4 linked regions of the Arabidopsis thaliana genome follow. The protein of the gene in region 1 interacts with the protein of each later gene in a pairwise test. Each region holds a gene or a part of one and is shown in the gene's direction. Other genes may lie near its edges. The genes, in order: AT4G25160, WRKY59, AT1G21790 and AT4G18340.

What was found.
Region 2: the proteins of AT4G25160 (region 1) and WRKY59 interact in a two-hybrid assay, tested with the Arabidopsis thaliana proteins (one large-scale study listed by BioGRID).
Region 3: the proteins of AT4G25160 (region 1) and AT1G21790 interact in a two-hybrid assay, tested with the Arabidopsis thaliana proteins (one large-scale study listed by BioGRID).
Region 4: the proteins of AT4G25160 (region 1) and AT4G18340 interact in a two-hybrid assay, tested with the Arabidopsis thaliana proteins (one large-scale study listed by BioGRID).

Annotation. Positions count from the first base shown.
Region 1 is NC_003075.7:12,901,154-12,910,773, reverse strand, and holds AT4G25160 (U-box domain-containing protein kinase family protein), read left to right. Parts: upstream 1-3,177; 5' UTR 3,178-3,557; intron 3,558-4,071; 5' UTR 4,072-4,104; coding exon 4,105-4,303; intron 4,304-4,466; coding exon 4,467-4,588; intron 4,589-4,678; coding exon 4,679-4,800; intron 4,801-4,881; coding exon 4,882-5,060; intron 5,061-5,146; coding exon 5,147-5,562; intron 5,563-5,629; coding exon 5,630-5,731; intron 5,732-5,814; coding exon 5,815-6,243; intron 6,244-6,384; coding exon 6,385-7,143; intron 7,144-7,234; coding exon 7,235-7,414; 3' UTR 7,415-7,594; downstream 7,595-9,620. Other genes in the region: AT4G25170 (Uncharacterized conserved protein (UCP012943)), read right to left, coding at 1-177, 317-361, 625-1,034; AT4G25150 (HAD superfamily, subfamily IIIB acid phosphatase), read left to right, coding at 7,892-8,286, 8,482-8,691, 8,861-9,038; OLEO1 (oleosin 1), read right to left, coding at 9,515-9,620. UniProt on the Arabidopsis thaliana protein: Functions as an E3 ubiquitin ligase.
Region 2 is NC_003071.7:9,333,215-9,341,208, reverse strand, and holds WRKY59 (WRKY DNA-binding protein 59), read left to right. Parts: upstream 1-4,930; 5' UTR 4,931-4,986; coding exon 4,987-5,210; intron 5,211-5,311; coding exon 5,312-5,473; intron 5,474-6,837; coding exon 6,838-7,060; 3' UTR 7,061-7,365; downstream 7,366-7,994. UniProt on the Arabidopsis thaliana protein: Transcription factor. Interacts specifically with the W box (5'-(T)TGAC[CT]-3'), a frequently occurring elicitor-responsive cis-acting element.
Region 3 is NC_003070.9:7,650,342-7,657,500, forward strand, and holds AT1G21790 (TRAM, LAG1 and CLN8 (TLC) lipid-sensing domain containing protein), read left to right. Parts: upstream 1-3,746; 5' UTR 3,747-4,015; coding exon 4,016-4,274; intron 4,275-4,551; coding exon 4,552-4,829; intron 4,830-5,020; coding exon 5,021-5,350; 3' UTR 5,351-5,640; downstream 5,641-7,159. Other genes in the region: FBP7 (F-box protein 7), read left to right, coding at 110-183, 278-331, 427-534, 623-681, 913-1,123, 1,213-1,272; AT1G21770 (Acyl-CoA N-acyltransferases (NAT) superfamily protein), read right to left, coding at 1,502-1,585, 1,657-1,908; AT1G21780 (BTB/POZ domain-containing protein), read left to right, coding at 2,135-2,247, 2,327-2,472, 2,713-2,828, 2,920-3,525; AT1G21810 (filament-like protein (DUF869)), read right to left, coding at 6,237-6,623, 6,710-7,159.
Region 4 is NC_003075.7:10,127,763-10,135,297, reverse strand, and holds AT4G18340 (Glycosyl hydrolase superfamily protein), read left to right. Parts: upstream 1-3,105; 5' UTR 3,106-3,278; coding exon 3,279-3,351; intron 3,352-3,571; coding exon 3,572-3,908; intron 3,909-4,144; coding exon 4,145-4,853; coding exon of another isoform or gene 4,854-4,886; exon of another isoform or gene 4,887-4,978; coding exon 4,979-5,053; 3' UTR 5,054-5,248; downstream 5,249-7,535. Other genes in the region: AT4G18335 (uncharacterized protein), read right to left, coding at 5,935-6,429; AT4G18330 (Translation elongation factor EF1A/initiation factor IF2gamma family protein), read right to left, coding at 6,711-7,274, 7,358-7,535.

The DNA of each region.
Region 1 (9,620 bases):
AACGTTCTTGAATGGCATAAATGCATTGATGGCTCCATCCAGTCCGAATCCGACCCGAATGAAGGAACTTGATGAACCATCCCTGTGGCTATAGGGCTCTGGTTTCCACCACCATTTTCCGGATAGCACTCGTATTTGTCTCTAACCAGCTGGGAATATGAACTAGCATCGAAAACCCTTCAAGAAAATAAAACAAAACCGTTACTCCAACACGTAAACAGAACACAAATATTTCGAAATCCATAAGATAACAAAGACCAATTACTATTATGAATAAACCAGCAAACAACTTTTGAAAGTATTTTAAGTACAAAACAACTGAGTGGGGTCACGGAGACACAGCTGAAAGAGTTTCAAACTTCTTCAAGATCATCAAATCAAGACAATTCCATCCATATCAGGAAAGAAAACAATTAAACTTTGAGACACTATAGCAGTCCATAACAATTCTCGTGTCTCTCTCTATTACTTAGACAACTCGTGGGAACTAATACCTACCACTCAAAAGTGATCAATTTATGAGATTTTATGACAATAATTTCCACAAGACTCAAACTCAAATAGTCACATCCAAAGAATCACACATTTTCAAGTGAAATGAGAAAAGAGAAGAAATTAGATTACTGCTGGAGAGCAGAAACAGCATCTTGGACTTCATCAACAGAAGGAACAGAGCCAAACAGAGAATCATCTTCTTCCTCAGAAACCCACTCAAAATCATCATAACCTCCAGAATTAACAAAGGAAAAAGGACCGCCGCCGCTCCATCCGGAGGTTGCAGCCACCGGAAGATTCAACAACAACCCAGAAGCCGCGGAATACGTCAGATTATTCGACCCAGAAGAAGAAGATCTCTGTTTCTGGACATGCGAAACAGAGGCGTTTCCAGCCGGAGACGACGTGGACGATGATGATGAAGAAGCAAAGGGATCTTGAATACCACCGTTGGCTACACCGGTCCTCGTCATCGCACGACCGGCGGCGCGTAACATACCTCCGCCGCCACCCATAGGCCCTCTTCCTCCACCAAACATAGAGAGATCACTATCAAATTGTTTTTACTTACACGACAGGTTGCGTATGTTTACTCGGTGAGTTTGTCTTTTGGTCCGATGCTATTTCGTAGGCTTTTTACTTGAAGCAGTTTTGATTGAATCGAGGAAGTGGATAAATGCGAAATGTCTTTTATAGATTTTCAGGAATATATGACTTTCTTTACTTTGCTTTGGTCCTTCTTCTCCACGACACGCTTATCCGTTTACTCTGTTTTCTTTTTTTCCATTAAATGCATTAAAATACTACTCCACTGTTGTTATAATAATAATTGTTTCAATACTGGATTATATATCCCAAATTTATTTGGTACGTCAGCATATGAGTTTCCAAAAACGAAATAAAAACATAATAAAAAAAAAAGAGACTATGCTTTATTATAACTAAAGGTGTACATAGATCAAATCATAAAATTTCATATTCAATTTGGATAATTTGGATGTGGTTAAAAACCTAAAAGTCTAAAACCAGTACGTAATAGTAGTTTTCTTTTTTTCCGTGTAACATATGTATGGGTTTATATAAACCAAAACATATTTGTAGGTCTTTTTCATTTTGAGTTTCGGTAGCGTTTTCAATTGGATTTTATTTGAATTTTAATCCAAAATAATGGATTTTTATCATAGTTAGACAAAAATTTCACGGAATTTATGGGTAAATAGTTTTTCTTTTGTTCGTGAATGTCAACGAACATAGGCATTTTTAGTGTGGTCAAACTATGTTTAAGTTGATGTGTGTATGTATCTGACAGGTAAGTCTGTTGTTTTGCAAACATGTTTTCAATATCATTCTTTACCAAAAAATGATATTTTCATATTACAAAGCAGATTATTTTAGAGTAACTTTGTAAACTATTCAAAACAAATGTGTACACAAAGGTTACTTTTGCATTTAAACCTTTATGTAATTAATAAATCAAGTCATTTCAGCCATTAATAAATTAAGATATTTGTATCTAATTCAACATTGTAAATTATCATATTTAAAAGTTCTTCCACTATCAAATTTCATCATCGCCATATAATTAGAGTTTCTACACTCGATCATGTATTAAAAGAAGATCTTGACCACACACACAACAAAAGAAACAAATTGTAAGAAAATACCCATTTGCAAATTTCCTATTAATAAGTTATAAATAAATTATATGTCATTTGCTATTTACTAATGTCATTTATCCAGTTTTCATTGGACAAACTCTGCCTTTTTCGTCCATTTTTTTCTTAAAAAAAGATGGCCATTCATAGTAAAAAGAATATTATGTAGTGCAACACAATATTGATATATATTCTTATATTTTTGACAGAATTTGTTCTTTAGTTTTTGCATCAAACAAAACGAGAATGGAGAAAATAATCATTGATATATTGACCTGAACACTAGTCGTTTACATTCAGAATACACAATAGTAATACGAATACTAGACTCAAGAGCATGAAAACTCCAAAACCAATTTGAAAGTGGGAAGACATTTCGTACGGAAAAAAGGAGAATCAACATAAGAAAATAATAATAGATTTTAAGTTTATAGAGATATTAGATAATTGAAATTTGAAAATAATGTGTCCTGATCGAATATTTCATGATGAATGACTACAGGGGATGAAGATTTTAGCGTCGAGACAAGACAAGTTTAAAATTCGAGTTTTTTCCACCTTTTATCATCAATCATCAAGGAACAATGACATGCCAATTCGTTTTCCATAAGTAACTTTTAATGTTTTTAGCTTCTATAGATACTTTGAATGCTTTTATTCTAAAAGGTCTTTGTTGACAAGGTCAAAGAGCCTAATCGAATCCTCTTGATCAGCCAGAGAGTTTTGCCTTCGTCTTTGGATTTTGCCAAAATTGGTTACTTAATCAGCCAGAGGTTAAAACTCGTAAACCGGCGTTTAAATTGAACCGGCCAAATCACGGTTCAAATGCGAACCAATGTTGTAGGTGAACTCTACCAAAGTCTTGTACCACTCCACTATGCATAAAGGGGAGGAGACAAAAAGACGTGAGGAAGACATAGATCATGCGTGCAACTATGGCCAAACTCGATATAATAATGGCGTTGAGGAATGTAGTTAAATACCAAATAATTAGGGAATTAAGAGATAAACTATGATTAAACTAATAGTCAAGGCCTAAGGTTGGAGAAAACTTCTTTCTTTTAGAACACACTCTCCTTCTGTCACTCTGATAATGAAGAAAATTCAGGCGAGAGAACAAAAGAGTATATACCCAGGACTGATCCTCCTTTGACCATTAACATGACCAACTTGTCTCATTTTCTTATTATTTTTGATGCTTCTTTTCAAATCTTTTTTAGATTCTCTGGTTATAAGAACCCATTGTTTGTATCTGAGATTAGCAGCACCAACGTGGGTCTTCATCTTCTTCTTCTGCTGCTCTCTTTATTTTCTGAAATTGATTGCTCTGTGAAATGGAAGCTTCCACCATTTCTTCTCTCAATTTTTGTATTGGGTTTGACTAAAGTCGCATCCTTTATTTACCAGGTAGGTTCAATTTCTGGTTTTCTTGTTTAACTCTATGCCCTGAAGATGGTCCCTTTGATTGACTTGATCAATGTTTCATAACCTTTCGAATTCTCTGCAATTGCATTGTGCTCAAAGTTGACATTTTTATTGGAAAGTTTGAGTTTTTTTTTTTATCTTTATAAGAAGCTAGCTATTTGTTAGCTTCGATGGTCGTTGAGTGTTGTTGCTTTACGATCCTTTTGGTCGTCCAAATTAGACTCTGAGACATTTGACTTTCAACGCTATTAAGAGTATCTCATGATCGGTATACCTCCGTTAGATTCTGTCAATACTTATTATTATTTGCCTTTTCGGTTTGATGAGTTGATATTCAACATTCAGCTATGTGAGTTCAAATATAATTACTGTCTGTTGATTCCCACTGACTGGAGAGTTTTAGCTTTCCCTTTCTTTCATGTTATCTCTACTTTAGGAACAAAACACTCTTTTTAGAACATTGTTTTGCAGTGTCTGAAATGGTTGTAGTGTGCAGGGTCAATAGAAACAAGAACACAAAAGATTAACAATGAGTAGATCACCAGACAAGCTTGCTCTTCCTCCTCCTCCTCCTCCTCCCCCATCTCGTACCGTCGTTGTGGCTCTAAGTGGGAGCAGTAAAAGCAAATATGTAGTTACATGGGCGATCGAAAAATTTGCTACTGAAGGAAATGTTGGCTTCAAGCTGCTTCACATCCATCCAATGATTACTTCTGTACCTACACCAAGTAAAGTTCCAACTATGCCTTGTATTTCTGTTTCTTTCTTTCTTGTACTCAGGACTTCTTCCTGTGTTTCCCTTTTTTCTATTTGGTATTGTTGTGTAAAACAAAATCAAGACTTATTGTAACTGATAAAAAGCCTGATGTACATTTCTTGCTCCTTCTCAAGTGGGAAATGCAATCCCGATTTCCGAGGTACGAGATGATGTAGTAACTGCATATAGACAGGAAATACTGTGGCAGTCTGAAGAAATGCTTAAACCTTACACAAAACTGTTCGTGCGGAGAAAGGTATTTTCTTTGGTATAATGAGATATCTTACGCTCTTCTTTAATGAAAATTTCAAGGTTACATGAACTCATTGAATTACCTTAATGAAAGGTTGCAGTAGAAGTTCTTGTGATCGAATCAGATAATGTGGCAGCCGCAATAGCTGAAGAAGTGACTCGGGATTCAATAGACAGAATTGTCATTGGAGGCTCATCCCGTAGTTTTTTCTCAAGGTACACTACCACCCTGCTGCTAGCTTTCGACCTTTGTTCTTTCTATTCCGTGTACCAATGAATCTGTTTTGAAAATTCCAGGAAAGCTGATATTTGCTCGGTGATATCAGCTTTGATGCCAAACTTTTGTACAGTCTATGTTGTTTCAAAAGGTAAATTGTCATGCGTCCGACCATCAGACTCAGACGGAAATGCTACTATAAGAGAAGATGGTAGTGAGAGAACAAATTCTTCAAGCGGTTCTTCTGGTCCCACCTCAGGTCCATGACTCATCAATGTATTTGTGTGAATACTCTACTAGAAATGGTGTGTATATCTAATTCTGTTACCCCATTTTCTCTTCTAGATTCATCAGATGTAATGTCAAGTGCGCATGACTCTCAATCTCGTCCTCTATCCCTTCCGGTCAGGAGAATGCAACATTTCCCTGCAATTGCAGGACAGGCATCAGTTCCAATGGAAACGAGTTCTGTTGGCTCGGATGAAACCAGGTGCATGTCTTTGGATGCAGAGGAAGCTAGAGATGTTTCAAGTATCAATAGAAGCAGCACAGATACTACATCACGTTGGACTCCTCGGCGTAGAGATTATGAGGAGAGAAAAGAAGCTATGAGTTCTTCTTCGAGCAACCGTGAATACGGGAATTTTGGTACTAGGTTTAGTTGGAGTGGCATGGGTGTCGATACTACACACTCTCGGGCTTCTCAACAAGCTTCCAACATGTCTGATGCTCTAAGTGAACAATCCTATACAGACAACCAGGTATAAAATGGAGTTTTAATTTCGACATTGTCTTGTGAATCGGAATAATATAAGATTATTTGTTCAGGTAAACCTAAACTTTGAGGTTGAGAAGTTGAGAGCTGAGCTTAGACACGTTCAAGAAATGTATGCTGTGGCTCAAACCGAAACCTTTGATGCTTCTCGAAAGGTGAAGGCCTCATAATATCATATATCTTTGCATTTGATGAAACTTATTAAATTGTGCTCAATGCTTTTCTGAAAATGTTTCAGCTTGGTGAACTTAACCAACGTCGGTTAGAAGAAGCCATAAAGCTTGAAGAGCTAAAGCTGAAGGAGTATGAAGCTCGAGAGTTAGCAGAAAAGGAAAAGCAGAATTTTGAGAAGGCAAGGAGAGATGCAGAGAGCATGAGAGAAAGAGCAGAGAGAGAAATTGCGCAGAGAAGAGAAGCCGAAAGGAAATCCGCACGTGATACTAAAGAGAAAGAGAAGCTCGAGGGCACTCTCGGGTCTCCTCAGCTGCAATATCAGCACTTTGCTTGGGAAGAAATTATGGCTGCCACTTCATCATTCTCAGAAGAACTGAAGATCGGAATGGGAGCTTACGGAGCTGTTTACAAGTGTAATCTGCATCATACAACTGCAGTTGTCAAAGTTTTGCAGTCAGCTGAAAATCAACTTTCCAAACAATTCCAACAAGAGGTATGGAAGTGAGCTCAAATTTGGTTTAAGGAACTTTGTTTGAGATTTTGTGCCTTTCACTATATGGAAGTTTTCTGATTTTAATTTCAATTCTTGTGGATAAGAGTCTACATTTATCTCACTGGCCTCTCTAATTTGCAGCTCGAAATCTTGAGCAAGATTAGGCATCCACATTTGGTTCTCCTTCTAGGAGCGTGCCCGGAGCAAGGTGCTTTAGTTTATGAGTACATGGAAAACGGTAGCTTGGAGGACAGACTTTTCCAGGTCAACAACAGTCCGCCACTCCCGTGGTTTGAGCGGTTTAGGATTGCTTGGGAAGTTGCAGCGGCTCTTGTCTTCCTCCACAAATCAAAGCCTAAACCAATCATTCACCGTGATCTTAAACCTGCAAACATCTTACTTGATCACAACTTTGTCAGCAAAGTTGGAGACGTGGGACTCTCAACGATGGTTCAAGTCGATCCTCTATCAACTAAATTCACTATATACAAACAAACAAGCCCCGTGGGAACGTTATGCTATATTGATCCGGAATATCAGCGCACTGGAAGGATATCATCGAAATCAGATATCTACTCCTTTGGAATGATTCTTCTTCAGCTTCTCACAGCAAAACCTGCTATTGCATTGACACATTTCGTTGAGAGCGCAATGGATAGTAATGATGAGTTCCTTAAGATCTTAGATCAGAAAGCCGGTAACTGGCCGATTGAAGAAACCCGGGAATTGGCCGCATTAGCTTTGTGTTGTACAGAGCTACGCGGGAAAGATAGACCTGATTTGAAAGATCAGATTCTTCCAGCGCTCGAAAACCTAAAGAAAGTAGCTGAAAAGGCAAGGAACTCATTTTCCGGCGTATCGACACAGCCTCCCACTCATTTCATCTGCCCATTACTTAAGGTAAACTCTATATAAAACCTTGTTCAATGTTGAAACATCTCATCTCAGTGTGTTGTGGTGAAAATGTGTGAGCTTGTGTGGTATAATGCAGGACGTGATGAACGAGCCGTGCGTTGCAGCAGACGGATACACATACGACCGTCATGCGATAGAGGAGTGGCTTAAGGAGCACAACACATCGCCGATGACGGATTCACCGTTGCATAGCAAGAACCTTTTACCCAATTATACTCTTTACACAGCCATCATGGAATGGAGGTCTACACGATAGTAGTAAGCCAAACTGTGTAGCGTTTTTGTGGATATATAAACGGCAAGACGTTTTGCTTTGTACTACTACTACACACATGCTGAATCAAAAATATAAACCGAAACGAAACCTTAATCATCTTGTAAACGAATATTCGGATCCATCCGTTAATTTGCCTCCAAATAAGAACACAAAACCATTGCCCTTTATTTTTCATTTTGGTATTTTGGTCTTTTTTGTCTCTCTTCCTTTCCATTGCCCAAAAAGAAACAGAAACTTTTCTCCGAGAATCCTCATTTCTCCGTTGAAAAAAGGACCTTGAGAGGAAATGTTTCACTGTTTCTAGGGTTCTTATAATCCACTTCCTCATCATTAGAGAATGGAAAATCTCCTCTTCTCTTTGATATTTCTTCGGATTTCGCTTATGTCCTGAATCTCTTGAAGACCCAATTGAAAAAATCTCAACTTTTTTTCTCCCGGCGTTTCCGGCGATATACAATGCGGATTCTCGTGAATCTCATTCTCTTCTCCTTGATTCCTCTGGCGTTCTCCAATGAAAACTCCAGCTCGTATCTCATTGCGCGACCATTGATCTTCGAAACCCAGCTCAAGAACATAAACGACAATGTCAATCTACATTGCACGAGCTGGAGATTCGCGGCGGAGACAAACAATCTCGCTCCATGGAAAACCATTCCAGCTGAATGCGCCGATTACGTGAAAGATTACCTGATGGGTGAAGGTTACGTCGTCGATGTGGAGAGAGTCTCCGAAGAAGCTAAGGTTTACGCGAGCAGCTTCGAATCTAACGGTGACGGGAAAGACATTTGGATTTTCGATATTGATGAGACGTTATTGTCGAATCTTCCTTATTACATGGAACACGGTTGTGGGTAATTTATCTTAAATCTTTCATTTTACAACATTGCTATAAAAAGTTGGTTCCTTGATAATTGTATAGATGGATTTGTCTTTTTACTATGTCGAATTAGTTAAGATTTGAGGTATGTGTTGTTGTCTGTCTTTTTCTTTGCTTGTTTGTCTATGTATGATAAATGTGAATGTTTGTTCTGTTTGGGAATTTGCAGGTTGGAAGTTTTTGATCATTCAAAGTTTGATATGTGGGTAGAGAAAGGGATAGCACCTGCTATAGCACCAAGCTTGAAGCTTTACCAAAAGGTTATACATTTGGGGTACAAAGTTATCTTGCTTACAGGGCGTAGAGAGAACCACCGGGTTATCACTGTCGAAAACCTGCGCAATGCCGGTTTCCATAACTGGGACAAGCTTATTCTGAGGTATGCATACTCTACTTTTGGACCTCCATTACAATGTAGCTCATACAGTTTTTAACCAACTATTGATCTGGATCCATGGTTGTGGTAACATGACGTTGTTTGATCTTGGATTGTAATCTTGGGTTTGAATGGATGATTGACGCTTTGGTTTGCTGCTTAATGTTAATAGATCGTTGGATGATCGGAACAAAACAGCGACCATGTACAAGTCAGAGAAGAGAGAGGAGATGGTGAAAGAAGGGTATAGGATCAGAGGCAATTCAGGTGACCAATGGAGTGATTTGTTGGGTTCTGCAATGTCAGAAAGATCCTTCAAACTTCCAAATCCAATGTATTATATCCCCTGAAGGGGATCAACTAGAATCAGGAGGCAATTCAGGTTACTAAATGGAGCAACCTACTGTTTTTGAAGTTTGGGTTGCCATGTAATCACTTGCAATAAATATATGTACTAATGACTGCATCGGCTTGCGTGTCTAAATTTGTAGCTTATTGAAAACTTTTTGTGGTTAAAGACGAATCCAGTTAACTAACATAAGTTTAACAAAACAAGACCTTTTCCATATATAGACCACCGTTACCAACTTACAAAGAAGCCAAATAAAGTACAACACAACACTTGCAAGTTACAAAAAGAGAGGAAAAAAAACATGGTACCATTTGACAACATATAGAAACACACATAAACATTACTTATAACAAAAAGATTCAAACTCGGCTTTTATTATCTCCCCCTGATCAAATTCTAAACACTTTATTCCTCATAAACTAACTCCCCGACATTGGAGTTATTGGACTATGACGATGACATCAGTGGGGTAACTTAAGTAGTGTGCTGGCCACCACGAGTACGGTCACGGTCATGTTCCCCACCAGTATGTTGCTGTCCGTAGTACTGAGCTCTGTCTTTCAGATCCTGAGCTTTGCTT
Region 2 (7,994 bases), on another chromosome or scaffold:
AATGTCAAATCTTACTGTTAAATAATGTTAAAATTGTTTTTGTAAATGATTGTTTCTCACTGAATTAGTTCTGCCAAAATTGATTTCTTAACATTTTCTATAAACAAATTTGATTATATCACAAATTTGAATTTGATTAAAATTTTAAAATCAATTGACCTAATACTACTTACTATTTTATAGTCATTTTTGTGAAACAGTTGTTGTCTCACTTTATGTAAACCACTAGTTTGAATATAGTAACTCAGCTTTTACACTTCTACAATTTTCTTATCAACAACATGAAATATGCCAATTTGAATTCGAATAGTAACACATATCTGATCTAATACCATGCACTAGCACAAATCAATCATCTAGTATCGTATTTAGATTTTATTCACTTACCAATTATTTCCTTTTATTTAAGTTCTTCTCCCCCTCACCCCATTGGACTTTAATATTAGTAATAAAGAAACTTGTTATAGAAGACGCCTTCAATTGGTTGATTCTTGTCCTTATCTAATGAGTTGACCCCTCGAAATTTTATGGTCAAGGACATGCTTTTGCCACATCTCATTGACTCGTATATTAGAGCTTCTCAAATTTTAACAATTCGATTTTTGAGAACGCAAATAGTGAATCTAATGAATGACTCATGGATGACGTTAGCTTATAACTGTTGCTAAATTTTTTATTAGTAATACAAGGGTGCACACTCATCATTCAATCAGCCAATCACAATTTTCCAAAATTCAGTCAAACCAAGTTGTTTGTCCTAGGAATAAAGTATATTTGGGAAATTTGATTGCATTGGTTTCCAGTTATGATATAAAAAAATCAAACAGAGTCTAAAATATATCTTAAAAAGTGAAATTTTCGGGTTTGGTCTTGTCAACCATATTAACCGAGTTATTTCTTTGGCAAATGAGTCAACATGACTAAGTCAAACATGGGAGACCGGCTACATGACTAAGTCAAAAATGAAAAACATTGGCCATATCTCTAAACTATGGTCTTTGCCTTTTCATTATGATAAGTGCATGCTTAAACTTATGATAAGTGCCTGTCATTACATTTTTTTGTGTAGGATTACAATTTTCCTTGAATTAGTTTTATTTAATCAAAAAATGTATGTATTTCCAAATAGTTGTTTTCGATTTTTAACCACATGTTATATATAAGCACATATATAAACAATATTTTGCTCTTGTGCTTTGTTTGTTTTGTTATTGTTTCTATCATATACAAATGTGCTATGTACGTATATTATATACACTACTTGAAAATTGTTCTCTAATAATATAGTTTACCAAGATTGGAAATCAGAAGACTTTTTACAGGTCTATCCATCCCTACGATTCAGAAGCAAGAACATCAGAAACATTCTAAAGATTGAAATCTCTTTTTTCATGTTGGTTCCATCTCCAAAAGCCTAGTTCATAGTAGGAACTCTGACAGCCAAGAACCTTTAGTCCAATAATAAAAGAGTAAAGAAAATATGTATACGTAGAATATTTATTCTAGTGTTATATATCGCACTAAAAATAAAAAAATAAAAAATCTAGAGAGCTAATTTAGTGAGACATGACAATATTATAAGATATTATTCCATAATTTTTTTAAAGTAGTAATTTTAGGGACTCTTGTAGAACTATTATTATAAAAAAAAAATATTTGAATATAATATTATTAAAGTTAATCTTATTTTTAAACTAAAAAATCAAAAGTTACATAATTATCCTAAAAATTCTATTTTGTGGTAGCAGGAGTTGCGCCGATAACTTTTAAACATTGTTCCTCTATTACAGGAGGAAAAAAAGGAATGAATGGAACTTTTGATATGCAATTGGCTTTAGTTTTCAAAAATGTTTTGCAACAAACAAGACCAATGTTACCGAACTTGGCAGTAAATTTCGATTGAGAAATTTCTGCAATGTATCATGGAATATCCATTACAGATGATCAATATTTAGTTATATCCGTTAATTCTGACATATTAGGAATTGTCTGAAATGGAAATAGATAAGGAAAAGGAGCTAGAAACTACGGTAATTGGGCATTTTTTAGGTTCTCTTTTTTTGCTAGGTCGGGGATTAGAGAGATTGGGTTCCGATTTTTTTAGGAATCGGTTCATGCCGGGAGAAGTGTTGCAGGTTCAGATTTGTTCAGGGGTTCGATTTAGCGACTGGAACCGTTTATTTTGATCAATGAGTTCGGATCCACCGTCGTAGCTGTAAAGTAGTGCTTCTTGTAATCACTGGTATTAATGGATGTGTATTCTTGTTTTCCAATCAACCTCCAATATGATCTCGTGTTCCCGATTTTATCAGTTCATTCCTTTTTATTTTGTAACCGTGATATTGTTGTAAGGACTTGGACCTATTACCCATTAAAATGATTTTAATTAACTAAAAAACAAAATTTTGTTTTAAAAGTTTCACGTATTCTATAAATGGAGATTTTTCATGTATATTTCACGTTCTGAGCTTTTTCACCAGAAACTAGTAGTAGAAACTCTATAAAAAGATAGAATGTCGAATAATATTATAGAACCATAGTTAGTACCTTGATCATGAGTTAATTAGTTTTTAGCCAGAGGTTTGAGTACTTCTAAGTCTTCAACAAAGAAAAAAGACAAATCTTTTCCGTCGTAAATTTCTCGTGCAAGACGCAAAACCCCAAGTTTCCACGTGGAAACCACAAGCTTCGTCGACCAAACCGGTGCTTCACCACGCGCCTAACAACGACAAAAACTGTATTAACACTTTAAATTAATCAAATCTCCACGGCAAAATGGCTCACGGAAAATGACGTAAGCATGCTGGCGTATTTTCACTGACGTCATGTGCCTTCGACCTTGAGGTTGTGCAGTAACTAGCAATAAGATACACTTACAACATGCAATAAGATATTAATAGTTCATGTAGCAACTATTACGTCTCGCTATTGGTTGCTCAAATTTTAAATCTAAAGTTTCTATTATCAATTTTCTATGCTGGTAACAAAAGGTGCTTTTTCCTACATAGTTACAGAAAAAGTCGCACTTTACATGAATCATAATGATGGCTTTTAATCGGCATATTCCAGAATTCTTTTGTTAAAAGATGATATAATTAACCACTGGCAAAAAAATATAAGAAAATCATTAGTGATGGTAACAATTTCGCCATCTGAGAATTGCTTTTGAGAAAATTAGTTCAGTTGCCTTTTAAAAATGCATTTTACCGCAAAGCCGTCTAGTGTTTCCCGAATTTGAATAATTATTTAATATCTCTTTAAAATGTGATAGGTGTTTATTTATTATATATTGATTTTGGCAACGCATGCAGAGGTTGGTGTTTGACCATAATTATTTAAAATGTCCGACAACTTGCCCTATAAGGCTATTTGTATTAGAATTAAAAACAACAATGGAACTACTTGTACAATAAGTTTAAGATCCGTAAAGGATAGAATCTGAGCTATTAGATATCTTTTAAATTGTTTTAAATAATTTTTGTCTCTTTTTGGTTAGGCCAAAGTTAAAAAGAAAAACTGATGAGACGTGGTGCCAAAGTGACTTTGGTTGGCTAATACAATGCAGCCTAAAATTAGACGTAGTTTTATGTCCGTTGATCCATACTTGTTTAGGTCCAGAAAACATAATTCTAAGAAAACTGTCACCTACGAAATTCCAAAAACATTTGCTGATCAGTTTGATACATGTCCTTGAGTATTCAGGGTGCCTTAATTCGTTTGTATTAATATCGTCTCATCACAATTTCGATGTTCTTTTTAAATGGTGGTTCTTCTGTCAATTACAAATCGAATGGCACTCTACAATCGACAGTATTTTTTTAACTTACTTGCATCAAAGTCAGTCTCTAATACCGTATGAACTTTAATAATTTTGAACGCAAAACAAATTGGTTATGAGTGAATTGGTACTTGATATATTTCCTATACATTACTTTAGGTTCTTTTTAACTTTTTTTTGTGTTGTAAACATTATTTTTTAATTTTCGACGTGATATCTTAACACGTACTATTACTAAAGAAATGATGATGGTTATAATCGATCAATTTTAAACCGGCATTTAACTTAGGTCATCCTACTTGGATTAACAAACTGAGTTTTATTATCATTTATGAAGTTCACGGGTTCTAACTCAAAAATTAATAAAAAAATACTAGATTTTCCTTAAATATTACTTTAAATTTTTCCTAACTTTGTGAAATCATAATACAATCCCAAGTTGATAGCGCTCTTATCAGCTAATGTCGAATAAAATCCCACTCTAAGATCAACAATTAATAAAATATCCCTCCTTGAACCATTCTATTTAGATCAAACTCGGCTCTATACCATGTTTATTTTCATGAACTTATAACCCAAAACCAATTACAAATACTTGTATTGGTTCATATCTCATATGTGTCTTCTTTCTTACCTTAGATATGGAATTTCTAATATATTCATACATAAGTTAGAAGCATGTTAACGAGACCTAGGTTTTCTGACCCACCATCATCTGTTGGTTCGTTTGCTAGCTACATCATTTCGAAATCTAGCTTTGATTAAAAGTGATTAATTAGTGTAATATGATTATATATGAAGGGACCAGTGATGTTACATGCATTTTTTACTCGAGGATTTGATTGGACAACGCTTCAAAACTTTTTTATAAAACCTTAAAGTTGTTAAAAAGTAAAATTTCCCACTTTTATGGGTACTTTATTTTTAACTTAAATAAATGATAATTAATAAAGAAAAATCACTTGTCGCTATAGCTATTCTATTGGAGAAGCTTCGTTGAATCTACGCACGAAAGTAGCCATGAAAGTTATTTTATTACTTAATTAAAAGCAAATAGACTTTTATTTTATTTTATTAATTCTATCATTATTTTTCTTAGATTTTGTAGTATAAATAAACAGTATTACTCTAACAATATCTGTCCCTCCTCTTAGCTTCAACCGCCGGAAAAACTAAACAACCTTCTTGGAAAAAAAGAGAAACTAAAAATGAACTATCCTTCAAACCCTAACCCTAGCTCCACAGATTTCACTGAATTTTTCAAGTTCGATGATTTTGACGATACTTTTGAGAAGATCATGGAAGAAATCGGCCGTGAGGACCACTCGTCGTCACCGACTTTGAGTTGGAGTTCATCGGAAAAGTTAGTGGCTGCAGAAATCACAAGCCCGCTTCAAACAAGCCTAGCTACCTCACCTATGAGCTTTGAAATGTAAGTCAACTTTTATATCATACATCTTAGCAAAAATTTAGTTGTTGATGAAAATTATATATTAGAACAGTGATATTTATCAAAAATAATGATTTATATAGAGGTGACAAAGATGAAATCAAAAAGAGGAAGAGACACAAAGAAGATCCGATTATTCACGTCTTCAAAACGAAATCATCAATTGATGAAAAGGTTGCTTTAGATGATGGGTATAAATGGAGGAAATACGGAAAGAAGCCGATAACGGGTAGTCCATTTCCAAGGTAAATCATTAATTCTAACTTCGTAGAGGACGTATAATACCTTTATTCGGTTATCATACTTGGATTTAAAGTTTATTCAACAGCTTGGATTATTGTAGTTGCATATGCTACAGGTTGTGTTGATTTGAGTATTGGATTGAATGTTTCCACTTGATGAATTTAGAAAGAATGCATCTCTTAAAGCGTAGAATAGTTAAATGTCAAATGGACAACTTGATACAACTAATATATAGTCGAGGCTGTCAAGTTTTACAAGTTAACTACCGATATTTTTGCATTAAGCTTATCGGTTAGTTAAATAAAAGACAGACAAAGCCTTACATCGATGTAAGATAAAACCAAAGTCTTGTACATGATATATAATATTCACATTTATTCATTGCAGAAATCATATATATAGTTATTAATAATTTCACTTTTAAAATTTGGTGTTAATTTCTGTCTACAAAATACTATTACATAGAAATGAGATTTTTATTATTATTTATGCTCTAAATTAATAAGAAGAGCATTCCTTTAAGAGTTTCGACTAATAAGTTGAACATAATTTTGTATACTAAAACCTAATTCACACAAAGTCACAAACTATAAATGTGTATTTAGTTTATAATACTCCTTCCATATTTTATCACCAATGTTTTAGGGAAATTATTTTGTCACAAATTAGATGATGTTTTCAAATTTTAATGCAAAATTAGTTACTGTAATTTATTTGATTGGCACTTACAAATTCTATTCTACAAATTATTTTATCATTAGTGAAATCATGTTTAGCTAACTAATAAATAATATTTAAGTTTAGAAATAAATAAAATTAAATAGAAAAATCTGAAAAATTAACTATAAAAATGCAGAGGAATATACAAACTAGTTTTTTTTATATAGTATAAAGTATAAACTAGTTAATGTTCCCTCTTCGGAGATTTTTGTCCAAATGCAATTTTCTATTTGTATGTTTGTGTCCAACATGCATATATTTACTATCACTTAGTTTTACGTATATTTCCATGTGGAACATGTGCCCCAAATACATCTATTGAATAGAAACTAATTAATTGTCAAGAATCAACAAGGGTTATTTAACTTTTTAGTTTTTCTTTGTGTGTGTGTATATTGTCCACTTCCCACAAGTTGTAATATAATCTTATAACAATAACACTTGAGAATATCATAATTGAGTTATTTGTTGTATCATGTATGCTACCTTTGATTTCAAGTGGATACATAAACGACGTTATTGTTTTTGTTATCCTAACAATTATTGGACCACACTATATATAATAATCAAACTGTTACATTACAAATCTTGTAGAATCTCTTAAGAGTTTTACTAAATTATTGGTGCTCATCATTATTTGGAACAGGCATTATCACAAGTGTTCGAGCCCAGATTGCAACGTGAAGAAGAAGATCGAAAGAGATACGAACAATCCAGATTACATATTGACAACATACGAAGGTAGACATAACCACCCAAGCCCTTCTGTAGTTTATTGTGATTCAGACGACTTTGATCTTAACTCTCTCAACAATTGGTCCTTTCAGACGGCAAATACGTATAGTTTCTCTCATTCTGCTCCATATTGATCGATCGTAGTTACAAGTTTGTGTATATAGATGTATATATATATATCACCAATTCACCATCGTAATCACGTCTCACATGTAACTACGTACATATATCTTGTTCGGGGTTCGTTTTGTAATGTATTGAATTGGTGGAGGTAGAATGGAAGTCATCTTGTATAGTTGTACTTGTATGTAAGGTTTGATAGTCATTTTTTATAAAGTAACTAATTTGTACATGAGTCTCTTTTATCGCCCTTTGTATATGTTGAGCTTTAGAGGATCGGTGTAGATTTCTGTGCATATTGTACCTAAGAGCATCCACATTGGTGACCCTCTTACAAATGTCTTTACTATAATTTATTATAAAAATTAATGTTATTTTCATTTTTAGTCATTTAGACCATCTTCATCGCATATAAAAGCAAGGGTCTTTACATTAAAAAATAAATAAAAAAGAGAAAACAGTAGAGAGTTGTGTCTCGGCAGAGACACAATAGAACCTAAAGACACCTTATGTGTCACTATATTATTGGTAAGTGATTTTTTTCTTATTTGTTTATTTAAAAAGTCGCTCTATTTATTGTCAATCTTGTTCTCTCTCTTAAAATAAAGACATCCATTAAAAGATGTGCTATGTGGATGCTCTTATTAGCTAAGTGTGGTGTCTTTAAGAGTATAAAAATGTTTCTGCAAAGACATGGAGGACACGGGTCTCCCTAGATGACATCTACACCTATATATTGGCGCATTTGCGACATTAATTCGTGGTTGAGTTTAGCAGGATCAAAAAATTTTCTCTCTTAATTTGTCTTATATTATATATCTTAAAAATGGTAAGGCTTATGTATAACTGTCTTATGAAATTTCTTATAATTAGATGGGCTTTTACTCGTATATAAGATAAACCTAAAGGTAGGCAAGACTCAACGGAGGAGGACTAATGGAGTGTTGA
Region 3 (7,159 bases), on another chromosome or scaffold:
GCTTCACGACATTCTAGCGCCAAGTGATTGTTTTCTTTTGTATGCTCTGACTAACATCGTGTCTTGTTATATCTTTATTGATTAAAGTAACTATGTATCTTCTTCTCAGGTCTTTATGTGAGTAGGAATACTTACATTCGAGCTGGAATTGCTGAGTGGAAGATTACAAATCCAGTTCACATTGTAAAGTCTTTGTCTTTTTCTTTCTTTTCTTCTTCATCTGTCCAATACAGACACATATAATAATCTGCGTCTTCTTTTGGAAAATTTGTTGCAGGTTTGTTACTACCGCTACATAAGGTTCTACCCTTCTGGCAGATTTCTTTACAAGGTTTGCACTCTTCGATATAAGTAGGTATAAACGTTGAGCTACTGGTGGGATCTAGTCTGATAATGATCCATCCGTATTTGTTGTTATTCCTTCAGAACTCTTCACAGAAATTGAAGGATGTTGCCAAGTACATGAACTTTAAGGCTTCTAAATCTGAAAATCTTTACAAAGGCACTTATACACTGTCAATGTCGGATGATAAGGTTAGCTCCCTCTACTGCCTTTTGGCTGGTAATCAACAACATTACATCTTCATAATCCTGATTACTGAAAAACATGTTCTTTTTGCAGATCGAAGCAGCTGTTCTGTACCCAGGGACACGCCCTACTGTCTTAAGGATTCGTTTAAGGTACTTCAATCCCTCAAAATATGTGGATAGAGAAGACTTCTTTTTAGTAATAGCATTTAGAACCTTGGTCTGGCATTGGGAAGAAGGCCTGTTACTTATCTTTTAAAGTACCGTGTCTAGTACATTCATCTAAGACTTATCTGATCCGGTGAATGTGATGGGGTTGAAATTTTTAGTAGCTGATAGTCATTTTGATCTTCTTGGTGTGGATATGTTTTCGGGTGTGGTTAGGTTAAGAGGAACAGCTATTGGAGCGAATAACAGGATGGATTTGCTGTCACTTGTGACAAGTGGTGTGAACGATGAGGAAATAAGCAGCACAGAAGAAGACATTCTTGGGTTAGTTGAAGGTTGGGAAGACGATGAAACTCACAACCCGGATATACCTGCCGTCTCACACAAGAGGGGTATGACTGCATTCGTCTTCGTTCCTTTCGAAGAGGTAAGTAAACTATAAATTATTGTATACTCTTCCCACCTATAATCTTAGTTACATTGATTTGATCTGAATATCTTCCTTGATGTTATTAGGTTGACGAATCGGTTCTGAACTTGCCACCGGAGAAAATGGATTACTATGTCACTGGCTAAAGAGACACATCGAAGTTTCTGTACAAAAATGTATCATAGAATAATGTTTTCACGTTATATTTATTGTTACGACAAACATTAGTGTTTGTTTGTTGCTGTCGAATTGTGAAAAACATACATTTTGGGATTTTTGTTTGTTTACAGAGATTACTTGAAACAAGCTTTACTATTGTAAGATAATGTTTTCAAGTTTTTATTATACACCAAAAGGCTTTAAAGCAGGACTTGATCAGATGCTAGACTTGAGGTTCTTGGAATCATCCTCTGAGTGAACCAGACGCTGCCACGTTGGGTTTCGATGAAGAAACGTTTCCTGCAAAACACGACATATTTTCATAAGAATCTGATTCATCTCAATTTTTTGAGGAAAGAAGAGATGTATACGGAAACGTAGGAGCAAGTGGGGATGATGGAGAAAGAGTGTTCAGAGGCGTGTTCGAAAGCGGCGACGCATAGATGCGAAGCTAAACCAAGTCCTGCTTTTGACGGCGGTACGAAGGTTCGAACCAGATCCATGACTTTACCGTCATTCTTCATCTTGTACTCTATGAAGGCTTCGTGATCATCAGTCTCGAATCTATGTCTTCCTTCGTTCCACACGATCTTCGGTTTCTCCGTCGCCGTCCCCGTCGCCATTTTATCTGTTATCTCTCTAAGTCTAAGTCCACTCTCTTTCATTTCAAACCGAGAATTGATTTTAATATATCGTTAGTAAACCGGTTTAATGGATAAAAACGTATAATCGTCGTACACGTGGCAGGCGATGGAGGCGGCAGAGTGTTTTGCTTGCTTCGTCGTGTTATTTGGCGTGAAGTAAAGAGTTCAGAGAGAAAAGGAAGTCAAAACTTCAGAGAGAAAGTGGATGGGGGACACGAAGGTAGAGACAATCTCGAGGTTAGCTCAATGGAGAATTGAAAATTTTGGTCCTTGTTCTTTCAAAAAGTCCGATCCTTTCAAAGTCGGAATTTGGAATTGGTAAGCTTTTCATTTTTGGTTTATTTTGGTAAATTTTCTTCGGAATTTTGATTTTTGTTTGTTTTGGGATATGATGAAGGCATCTGTCTATAGAGAGGAATCGCTATCTATCAGTGAGGCTATTCCCAGAACTTTCTCGAGTATCTAAAGAGCAACCTCCTGTTGCCAAATTTGTTCTTCGTGTCTCCAACGTTGGCCCCAATCGTAGATTCTACATCTCTCCTGGTATGTCTTGTCTTTGAATTGACTTTTCTGGATTTGGAATTTGAATTCTATTGTCGAGCTCGAATTAGGTATTTCAGGAAAGGGAATTACCTTTTATGTGGGAACTATATTCAATTATGTGGAATCTGAAAGATATTAATTTAGATGTTAATGATTGGCTGATGATTAGTAGTACCTTATGGGATGGTTACAACTGAATTAGGTTTGTTTAAGCTGAGATACTCTGTTTATTTGGTGCAGTTTATGAGAAGCTGCTGCGTACAACTGATGATTGTGTGTGGCATGTTGACTCCAGTTTCCACGGTCGATTCACCATTGATGTTGAGTTTCTTGATCTCAAAATCTGCCCTGTGAATGTAAGCTTAATGATTCTATTTATACTCTCACAATTTCTTCTCTTTGTAACATTTGTACTTCCATGGTTGATCAAATCAAATCATAATCCAGGGTGGTGAAGCTTCTCCTGTTTGGCCAACCGATGCAACAATGCAATCAATCTCTACTCAAACCACTCTCAAATGCTTATCCCGGATGCTAGAGGAAAGCATACTAACCGATGTAATCATCCACACAGCCGATGGAACACTCTCTGCTCACAAAGCTATCCTCTCAGCTAGCTCAACTGTTTTCAAAAGCATGTTCCACCACGACCTCATGGAAAAGGAATCATCCACAATCCACATAGACGACATGTCGAGAGAATCTTGCATGGCTCTACTAAGTTACCTCTACGGAAACATAACCCAAGAAGAGTTCTGGAAACACAGGCTCGCCCTCCTCGGCGCTGCAAACAAGTACGACATAACGGATTTGAAAGCAGCCTGCGAGGAGAGCCTAATGGAAGATATAAACTCGAGTAATGTGCTCGAGAGGCTACAAGAAGCTTGGCTTTATCAGCTGGAGAAACTGAAGAAAGGGTGTTTGATGTATTTGTTTGATTTCGGAAAGATTTATGATGTCAGAGAAGAAATCAGCAGTTTCTTCAGGCAAGCTGATCGAGAACTGATGCTGGAGATGTTTCAAGAGGTTTTGTCTGTGTGGAAACCGGTCTAATATACACTTACACACATACTTTGAACATTTCAGCTTGATGGTGTTTTGTTTATAGTCTTCTTGTTCTCTTCTGTGTGTGTAACTAACAACAACTCTGGATTTTGTTGTATCACTCTGTCTAATGTATAGTATTGAGTGGATTTGCCTCTAGTTTGGTGTACCGAGCCTCTCAAATGGGCCGAGCCTTTCAAATGGGCTGTGACTAGGCCTAATGACTGTCGACATCGAATGTCGGCACAAAATATGATAATTTTGTCGATGTTGAAATCGTACGTTTTTTGTTTTAATTAGATGAGTCAGCATCAGGAGGATGAAGTATCGACCGACACGTGTCCGTTGCGTCCCAAAGTAAAGCTTATAACGTGAAGGCATTTGTATCGTCTCTTCCGCCAAAATTGGAAATGGATATCGAAGTTTGAGCTAAGAATCCAATTTAGGGTTAACTTTGCCGGATTCTCAAGCAATCTCCGAGAGAGACAGTGAGGTTTCGATGGCGAGGAACGGGATTGGGAGTTCAGGAGGGAAGAAGAATGGGGCTGGGCAGTTTTTCTTAGCGACGCTGCTTCTTTGGCTTGTCTCCGTCGTGTTTGAGATTGCTTTCAATCTCCGGACGGAGCTTCTCTGGGTGATTTGCGGTGGATGCTTCTTTCAATTGATGAATTGGGTTGTTCGTTCATGGATTTCTCGTGACCCTATATTTGTTAATACCTCTGTCTCGCTTTTGCACTCAATCATCACCTCCGCATCAGGTCCCTTTCTCTCTTCTCTTATATTTGAGTTCTTACTATAGGATTGTGCTCTGTTAGTGGGGAAATTTTATCATAGGTGTGCACATTGGTCGTTGGTATTAGTCAATTTTCCTTTGGTGCTGTGTTTTCACGGTTTCATTGCTTAATGTGATTCTTATTTCCGATTGGATTAGTCTTATGATTGATTGCCATAGCTTGAGTATAATGCAGTTCTTTCTTCGTTAAGCCTTACTGATTATGATTTTTCATCTTCAACACTGCTCTTGTGTTACTACAGTGGTTTTCATACTTCTCAATCAATGCTTAGCCAAAGGTTTAGACGAGATGTTTGATCATTCTGAGTTGGTTGGTGGGACTTGGAAATGGGCATATCCAGCTTTGTGTTTCTCATGCGGCTACTTTGCATATGACCAGTGGGATATGCTTCAGTACCGGTTATACAGCGGCTTAATACCTTCTATTCTTGTTCACCATCTAGTCCTCCTTGTTTGCTTCACATTGGCACTATACCGAAATGTAACCATCAACTACCTTATTCTTACTCTCATCTGTGAGGTACGTTCCACTTTTTTCTTCCTGAAAACTTGCCCTGGCTTTTCTCTGTTCTTTACCGAATCTATGCTAACATTCTCTAGTTAAACTAGACTAGTTTCATATATAACAATCTAGTTAGATATAGACTCAACTCTACAACATCTACTTGTTCGAACAAAAGTGACACCTCTGTTATTCGGATGTGTAAACAGATGCATTCGATCTTTCTACACGTGAGGAAGCTAAGGAGAATGGCAGGAATCCGAGACAGCAACACAGCATTGGTGAAACTGGAGTGGGTATTAAACTGGACAGCCTTTGTGTTTGCGAGATGCATTCCTCACATTCTCATCACTATCAAGCTGATCAAAGACGCACACAAGTTTGGGAAAGGCGTGGAGTTACCACTCGCTCTGTCTGGTATGGCAGGAATGAACATTCTTAATGTTGGCCTCGGGTTGGATCTGTTTCATGCTTTCAGAAGAGAGAGAAGCCACAGAAGAAACCAAGAGAACGGCAACCTTCACGACCATGGAGAATAATAGCTAATTTAGAGGCAATCCATTACCGAATCTATGGTTTGTTGTTGTATGAATACTACCCACTCATCTCTTGTTTATATCTGAGGCTTTGCTACTAAGTTCTAATAGCTTTCAGATTTGTATGTATCTCTCTATAGGAAAACTACATGTAAATGTTATTTCTTGATGATTACAGTCAACAGACTTTTTTTCTTCTTGTGTTTGGGGAAACGGAACCAAATTAGAATTTTGGTTTGATCTTTGGTTGTGATTTATATATCATAATCATTATATAAAAGTTAATCTTAATGAACTTTGGTTTATTCAGTTAAATTTTGGTATAATCTTTTCAATCTATTAGGAAAGTTTGTTTAGTGTTGAGTTGATGAAGTTTGGTCCGGTTCAGTTTCCACCAATGTTTGGAAGAAAAAAAAATGCAAGAGCATGAGAGGTCCTACCGGGAGTCGAACCCAGGTCGCTGGATTCAAAGTCCAGAGTGCTAACCACTACACCATAGAACCTCAGGTGCTTGTTCTGTTGCATGTACCAGTTTAGAATCTAATCCAAAATATTGTATTTTAGACACGACCAATGAATAGATTCAACATCAGCAGTTCAGCAGCACCACAGATTGCAGTTTTCTTTGTCTTTATCTAACCAAACAAAACAAAAATCAATATTTTACTTGGTGACAATGCATCATATGAGACCATCAAACTGGTGACAGTGAAATAACAAAGATGAATCTCACAAGACATAAACGTTAAGAAGATTACACTATGTAGCAAAAGAAACAAGGGTGATCTTTTTGCTACTAACAAGTCAGAATCTGAAAATTATGGTAAGAAATCCAGCTTAACAACAGATTGATTCTAGCTATACTCCAAGAACGAACCTATTGCTTCTCCTAAATCCCCAAATTTACTGAGTTTCTACTTCGAGTGAAAACCGTGGCAAATCCGTTGCGATTCTTCTCAGAACTCCCTCGGTTTGATGACATAATTAATGACACTGTTGTTGAGTCCGAAGAAGATGAACAAGGAGGTGAGGTCTTGTTATTGCTGTTCTGGATTGCAAGAAACTCAAGTGATCTTCCATTGATTGTTTTGATGCACTCATGAGGATCTTTTCCTAACAAAGCTTCCTTGTTGTGAACTGACCTTGCAGAACCTGGAATGCTAGCTGTATCGATCAAGAATTCTTCTAGTGTTGCAAGAGATTGTAGCTGTTTCCCAAGTGATGCTATTGTTTTCTGACAATCTGCAAATTTTCCTGCAGCTGTTGCTATGTCTTCCTGCAATAGAATCAGCTTTTAGTGAAACAAGGATTAAGAAAAAGAAAAAAAGACTAATTGGTGATCAGAAAAATAAAAAGCTATACCTGTTTGATCTTTGGTTCCACTTTTTCTCTCTTGATCATTGTCTTCTCTTCTATCTCTCTTCTAAGCTCTTCTTCAAATGTCTCACACTTTTCCTTTAGCCCATCAGAGACAATCCTCTCCTTTCTCACCTCTGCTTCCATTCTGGTCACCCGAGATTCGGCTTGTGTTTTCGATTCATTAGCTAGTTTAAGCTCCCTTTTCATCGCTTCCAACTTCATCTCAACTTCTTGAAAACAAACTCTAGATTCTTGATATTGATCTTTAATTACGTCAAAAGATATCTTTAGCTCAGCTTTCTCAGCTTCCATCTTCTCCAACTCATCTTCCATCTCAATTTTGTCACCAACTACAGCTTCGAGTTCTAAGCTGAATCTCTTCTCTGCTTCTTTACAACAAATAACTTCACTGTCAAGCTCATCCTTTTCTGCTTGTAGCTTCTCCAACTTTGT
Region 4 (7,535 bases), 2.8 Mb from region 1:
ATCTTATTTTGTCTAATGAATCCAAACTAAGTACAGTATGTGAATCTTGGTAATATATGTATATAGAGTTCAGTTCAAATATAAAATACAAGTGTATGACGTCAAAAAGAATTTTTAGATACGTTATAGGCTCATTATTTAACTATATGTTCACTTTGGTGCAGCTTAGTATCTTTTATGCAGATATAATTTGAATTTTTGATCTGGTGAACTATATATTGTTAAGTAAAAAAAAAAACATGTCGGTCCAACCCAACCTAGACCTGTCAAGCATGTTTAATGATGGTTTGGCCTGATCCATTTGTTAAACAGTAGGTAAAATTTGCAATCTTTTTTTTTTTTTGTTTTTTTTTGATTTTGCAATCTTCTCCCTTATCTACACTGTTCTCTTTAAGAAACCCGCTATAACACTTCCCGAATCATTCATGCGGGAGAATTCAAAGGTACCTTAATATTACCACCTTCAAACCAATTCGCACATGGTCCAAGTTGGAAATGGTTAACCAATTTAGTTACCTATCACTATCAAATTCCCACAGTTGGGTGTGATGCATCATACATTTGCAAATGTCCAACATGGAAATCCGAATCAAGTAAACCCTATATATACTCTATTTTTCATGCGTTAAAAGGGTTAAACCCTTTCTTTGAAGAAACTTAACCTTTGTTCAAAAACATTGATATCGTTGAGTACTTGTGTTGCTTTAAAAAGCTTTCATGTCATTTTATTTGCATATTCGATATTGTAAATAAATTGCAGATTAAATGGCATATTCTTTCAATCCGAGCTAAAACAAAATCATTCTCTTTTTCTGTCTGCTGTTTCAAACTTGCTGGACAATTATATGATCTTTCTGATTTGGACATTAAAATATCCACAGATAACGTAAACTTGAAATATTCTGCAACCAAAAATATGTCCATTCAGTAAATAATTAACAAACTAGATCATATTCATGAAGAACTAAACCAGAATCATTAAATTTAAACATTAGAAATAAATTAAAACTTGTGTCATATACTCGATAATAAATCAAATTATCTTTAACTTTACACATATAGGCCTATATAAAACAATCTGTTCGGCCGTGTATGGTATATAGTTACGTCATTATCAAATTAATCTATATGGAACTGCCATAAGTCGACCGGTGGTCAATCCTAAGCCACGAAATCAAACTTTTAAACGACGAACTAAAAGTTTTCAGCCAACTATAAACAGGCCACTCTGAATAATTGACTGATTTTGACTCCTTTCCACATATTTAATTCCAACATCGAACGATTACATTTTTAATTGCAACAAGTTCAATAGCTTGAGACGGGTATATTTCTTATAAGTTGTATACATGTGTTCAAATAAAATGGCTCTTGGTGTCGTGAAAAAGAGAGAAGATTTAATATTATAGAATCGAAAAGAAGACACTAGGGTATTTTGGATTAGATCAATACAGCCAAAAGTTCCACTTTAAATTAATGTAATTTTCTGGCTAGCCAACCTTTCGAGAAAACGAATTGACTATCGTCTACGTGATCAAGTTTAACCCTTTATATTTTACCATTTAAAAATATAGTAAGTAGAAATTAATTGATTAACAAATCAATAGCCAACCAAGCGAAAGCACTTACTATTTCTTAAATAAGTTTTGTTGGGGTTTATTATGTCAGGTGATTAAAAAACAACCGATGGTTGAAATTGACCGACGGCTCCAAGTGTGTGACACTGCCCCGCCAACTTGTCTAATTCCCCTCGAAAGCATATTAGCAACATTATCCCAATTGACCATTTTATTTTACTTTTGTTATGCTAATGCTTTTAGTTATTTGTCAATTTATACATTATCATATTTGTCTTGTTTTATTTTACAAGTGCCTCAAAATTAAGCATGATCCTTTTGTCTAAAGGAAAGTAAGTATATCCCTTCTCTATCATCTTAATCCGAATAACAATATATTTGAGATTTTTTCTTGACAATTAATGGCAAATTATATTACGACTTATATATCTTTCACGAATACAATTTTGGATATCCCGTTCTTGATAACTTTCGAGGACTTGTATGAATTTCCGTCCAAAAGCCTCGGATTACAAAAAGAAAATAAATATGTGATATATGTTTATTTGTATGTATTATATTTCCCGGGAGATTTGAAAATATTAAACTTTAAAGGAGAAACGGAGGAGGCTTCCTCAGTGTACTATTGAATCCTTTGACACGTCAAGTCAAATCGGATCTCCAATTAGCTTTTGTCTAAAGAAATATAGTAAGGTTTGTTTGTCATATTAATTAGGCTAGGATACACTTGCGGTCAAGATTCATGCGAAAATGTAATCATTATTCTTCGAATTTGAATTAGCATTAAATTAATCATAATTAACACGTGATTAGTAAAATCAATGATTCAGATAAATTAGATAATAATATTAATAGTAGTAAAAGTTAATAAGAAAAATAAAGACCATTTTTGTGGGACTAATAACCCATTATAAAATTTCTTTTGTCATGAAGTTTTAGCTGAAAATTTGATATTTTACCTTTCATGATTATTCTACAAGACATGATTATCTATTAAAATTTCATTGTGTTAATATTAATTTTTATACCACGTCTTTTTCTCCATGATTATCGTAGAATAAACTTTTGGTGTATAGTACAAGTTTGTTTTAAGTCACGACTCACCTACTTAATTGAAACGAATATTTTAATATTTTCCGGTGCTTTATGAAACTTCTTCAATATTCTATACACGTCCACTTATGTGTATCCCAATCTCTTCTTAATTTAATAACATTGCTCACTTTTTTTACCAACCCAACAGTTAACACCACTTGTATAGTACATGTAATTAAACGAAACACACAAACAACGTATTTCCTTCCATACATGTGCATGCAAATTGTCTTGTCATAGAGTCTGCATTAATCTAGCTATATGATAAATAACTACATACAAATATTTTAAAACCTAATAATTTTCTTTAATAAGAAATCCTTCGTTGTGGTTTATAGAAAGCCGTCAGTGGATAAAAAAGGCATAAATGAGAAAAGCAATATAGGGAGGCAAAGCTAAACAATTTAAAAACACTTTTTTTAAAAAACATAAACTTCAACACTAAACCTTTTCACAACAAAAAACACGGAAAAAAAACAAACAAGCGAAGAAAAGTATTCTTCACCTTGGTTGGCTTATTGTGTATGTCTATAAATATTCCATTAAACACTTCTCTTAAAACCCAAAACCTTCACAATCTCTTTCCCTCCCTCTCTCTTCCTCAACATGACATCAAGAACATTCACAAGACATTCCAGTCTCATTCATGTTTTTCTCCTGCTTTCTCTCGTTTTCTCAGGTTATTTTCTTTTTCATTCTGAAATTTTAAAACCAAATTCTTAACACTTAAGTTATGCTTTACGTTGCCGCCTTAAAACCTCAACGTGTAAGATTTTAACATAGTGAAATAACGGATCGATAATAAGTCTAGAATTCATTTTTTCAATGTTTGTTTAATGGAATATTAAAGATTTTTGGCATTGTTTTCTAAAAGTTCGATTCTTTGTTTGGAAATATAGGGAATATACTACAAACAGTAACGTCTCTTGGCATCAATTACGGACAAGTTGGGAACAATTTGCCTTCACCGGATAAAGTCATTAACCTCTTGAGATCTTTAAGGATCACAAAAACAAGAATTTACGACACTAACCCTCAAATCCTTAGTGCCTTTGCAAATTCAAACATCGAGATCATCGTCACCATCGAAAATCAGGTTTTACCATTACTACAAGATCCTCAACAAGCTACCCAATGGGTAGATTCTCACATTAAACCCTATGTTCCGGCCACTAGGATTACCGGAATTATGGTCGGAAACGAGCTTTTCACCGACGACGACTCTAGTTTAATAGGGTAAGTACTAATCGTTGAATATTAGTCTAATTTGTTACATGATCACAGAATTAGTTTTTTTTCATTAACTGATTTCACATTTTCTTGACTACCACTTGGTCAAATGTAACGAACTCCTTCGAAAAAAATATTATATTTATTAAACTCCACTTTGAATTTCAATAAGAAATGAGTGTAATAGTTTTTGTCCAATAATTGCTAATTTTGACTATATTCTCTCCTCTTTTTGGTAATAGATACATGATGCCGGCGATAATCAACATCCACAAAGCCTTGGTCCAATTAGGTTTAGATAGATACATTCAAGTCTCGTCTCCAAGCTCTCTTGCCGTCCTCGGTGAATCTTATCCTCCATCTGCCGGAAGTTTCAAGCCGGAGGTTTCCTCCGTGATGCAACAACTTCTAGATTTCTTGGAAGCCACGAAATCTCCTTTTTGGATAAATGCTTACCCTTACTTTGCCTACAAAGATAACCCACAAGAAATCCCAGTCGATTACGTTCTATTCAACCGTAACATCGGCATGACCGATCCCAACACAAGACTACACTACGACAACATGATGTATGCTCAAGTTGACGCAGTTGCTTTCGCGGCTGCGAAACTAGGGTACCGTAACATAGAAGTTAGGGTTGCGGAAACAGGGTGGCCTTCAAAAGGAGATGTCGGAGAGATTGGAGCGTCTCCTGTGAATGCTGCCACGTATAACCGGAATCTTATGATGAGGCAATTCGCCGGAGAAGGAACTCCAGCGAGACGGAATGCAAGACTCGATGTTTATATATTTGCGTTGTTCAATGAAGATATGAAACCAGGTCCTACTTCGGAGAAAAACTACGGTATATTCCAACCAGATGGATCATTAGCTTACAATTTGGGATTCTCTACAATGTCGACAACGACGGCAAATTCAGAATCTGTCACTTATTCATCCTCTGCCACTAAGGTACGATTAGTATTATGTGGTGAATTTTGTTAGAATTTGGAATTATTGGGGCCACGACGAGAATAAGTTTGTGAAAGGACTAGATGTGCAAAATGAATTAATTCTCTGTTTTCTTCTTCTTTCAGGCAAAGAGGAGCTTGGAGTATTGGACAATTTTGATATTGGCGATGGTTCAAGTTGTAATGTTGAGACTATTTTAGAGGAAAAGTTATTGACAATATAATAACGCGATTGTTTAGGATATTTATGTAAACAATTTAATTATAAGCTTGATAAATATAATTTATATTCAATTCAACATTCAAATGAAGTCGGTCAATAGTGAAAATTCTAAATTTATTGTTGTCGTTAACAAGTAATTGACATATATAATAAAGAAACAAAGTTTACTTTTTAAGAAAAACTTGTCGTATATGAAAAGGTTTGAGTAAGTAGTAACTTTGACCAAAAGGCATATAATCGATAACCAGTAGCGGTTTAGAATCAACCATATATTTTTTTCCCTCTAATTCAAGAAATATGGCATAGCTTAATTCATTTGTATATGTTGTTGGATATTTTAAATACAATCCCTAGCTAGTTATATAATATAGATATTAGAATGCAAACATATGCATTGGAGTGGACGGTACGAAGAATTGGAACTGAAGCTAAGAAAAAAAAGCCATGAAACAAGAGCTTATGCTCACGATGCAAATTCACATGCTCATTTCCAATTATATCGGCTCAATATACTCCCTTGTTCTTGCCACAAACGATGCGTTTTGACCTTGAAAACATAGACACATATGCTTTTTTCTCTCCATATATTATTTTACCGATCAGTCAAGTTTAGTTTTATAGAATAAAATAATTCAGCTGCACGTAAGGAAAAATAAGTACTTTCTGAAAAATCAAAGGACACGAACAATCAAACATTAGTATGCAAATTATTTTCATACACTTGACCGTCAAAAATGCACTGATCAATGCACCGGTCATTCCGAACAAAAAAGAAAAAAAAATCTTTAAAAGATGAAAAATACAAAAGTGCGACGAGAGGAACAAAATCGTTTCACGTACGACGTATCGGCAACGATATCTAGGGTTGTGTAGAAAGATCGCAAAAGAGAGTAGTAGCGGAATTAGGGTTCTGGTTATGGCATGGAGATGAACCGGAAGGAGGTACGAATCCTTTGGGAAGCATAACCGAGAAAGTATCCTGTCGAACCGGACGGTTTAAACCGTTATTCTTCTTGGCCATCATCTTGAAGTAGCCAGCACGATGATGAAGACCACGGCGATGACGAAGAGTATGTCGATAGTAGTAGTAGTATTGGTGATTGTAACGACGACGACGGTGGTTGTCTCGTTGCAACCGCTGGTTCAAGATAAACGGTGTCGTTTTCTTGATGTAGACGAGTTGGTGCGGTGATTCGTAACCGTTGAGATAAGCTTCCGTTTTTTGTGTTGATGATACTCTTGTTTCTTGATTCGAAGATGATGATGATGGTGAGATGAGGAAGACGAGAGTGAGAATAAGAGAGACGATGAAGCTTTTTAGAAGACTCTGTTTCATCAAAACCAAATCTTCCATTGGGATTGAAAGAGAGTATAGGGTTTTGGCTGAGAGTAAGAGAGAGCGTAAAGATGAAACAAAAGCTCAGAACGAGGAGGGAATTAGAATTATATAATTCCTAATTAGTGATAAGTAATATCATTAATGAAATTATGAATTTGTTTTTTAAATTTTCGTCAATGTTGTGTTAAATATGAATATAGTTTTATATTGTAGTCGAAAGAAAGTGATTAAACATACAAAGGCACATGTTAATTATTTTTGAATGCAAACAATATAAAAAACTCATCACTACTTCATTAGAAAGGAGGAGGAGGAACATCGATGGTGGTTCCAGCCATAATCTGACCCTTACCAATTAGACGCCAATGCCTATCGACACGTCGGCTTAAAGCAACCTTCTCTCCTATGGTGGTACACACCGGAGACGTCAGTTGGAGTTTCACCATATCTTTCTTGACTCCAATAACCTTAGCTCCCGTAGACATAGACCCGATGTTCACCATCAATATCTCTTCTTTGGTTAGCTTTGACACTTTCATTTGCTTCTCTTTTTCCTTTGTCCTCACTCCAATGAGACGAGTCAGAAGCTGGTAACTTACTTCAAGCTCAACAAAGACGTCAGGGAGAGTACCCATTTCACCAAGGACTTGACCAACCAACCTATCAGCACGCGTAAGCGTAGGGTCCATGGTTGTTCCAACTCCGATTAGACCTCCCGGTACAGCAAACTGAAGCTCGTTCTGTTCCGCGTATAGTGAAGTTATACGCGAGTAAATTGGAGTGCATTTTGAGTTTCCATGCTCATCTTTGCCAGTGATACCAGGTCTAATTTCAATCAGTTGGTTCACTTTCAAAACACCCAAACAAAGAGAGACACATATTAATACTAAATTGTTTCACAGTCAGGTAAGAACAGAGGAGAAACAGAGAGATAAAAACATACCTGGAGGATACTTCCACCAGCAACACCACCTTTCATTTCATGACCCGCCGAGCCAGGTTTATTGACATCGAAAGAACGAATCACAATCATCTTTGGTGGTGACACAAAGTCTCTCACAGGGATTGGAATCTTCTTGACAATGTATTCACTCACAACATCAATGTTGTATTTCAGTTGT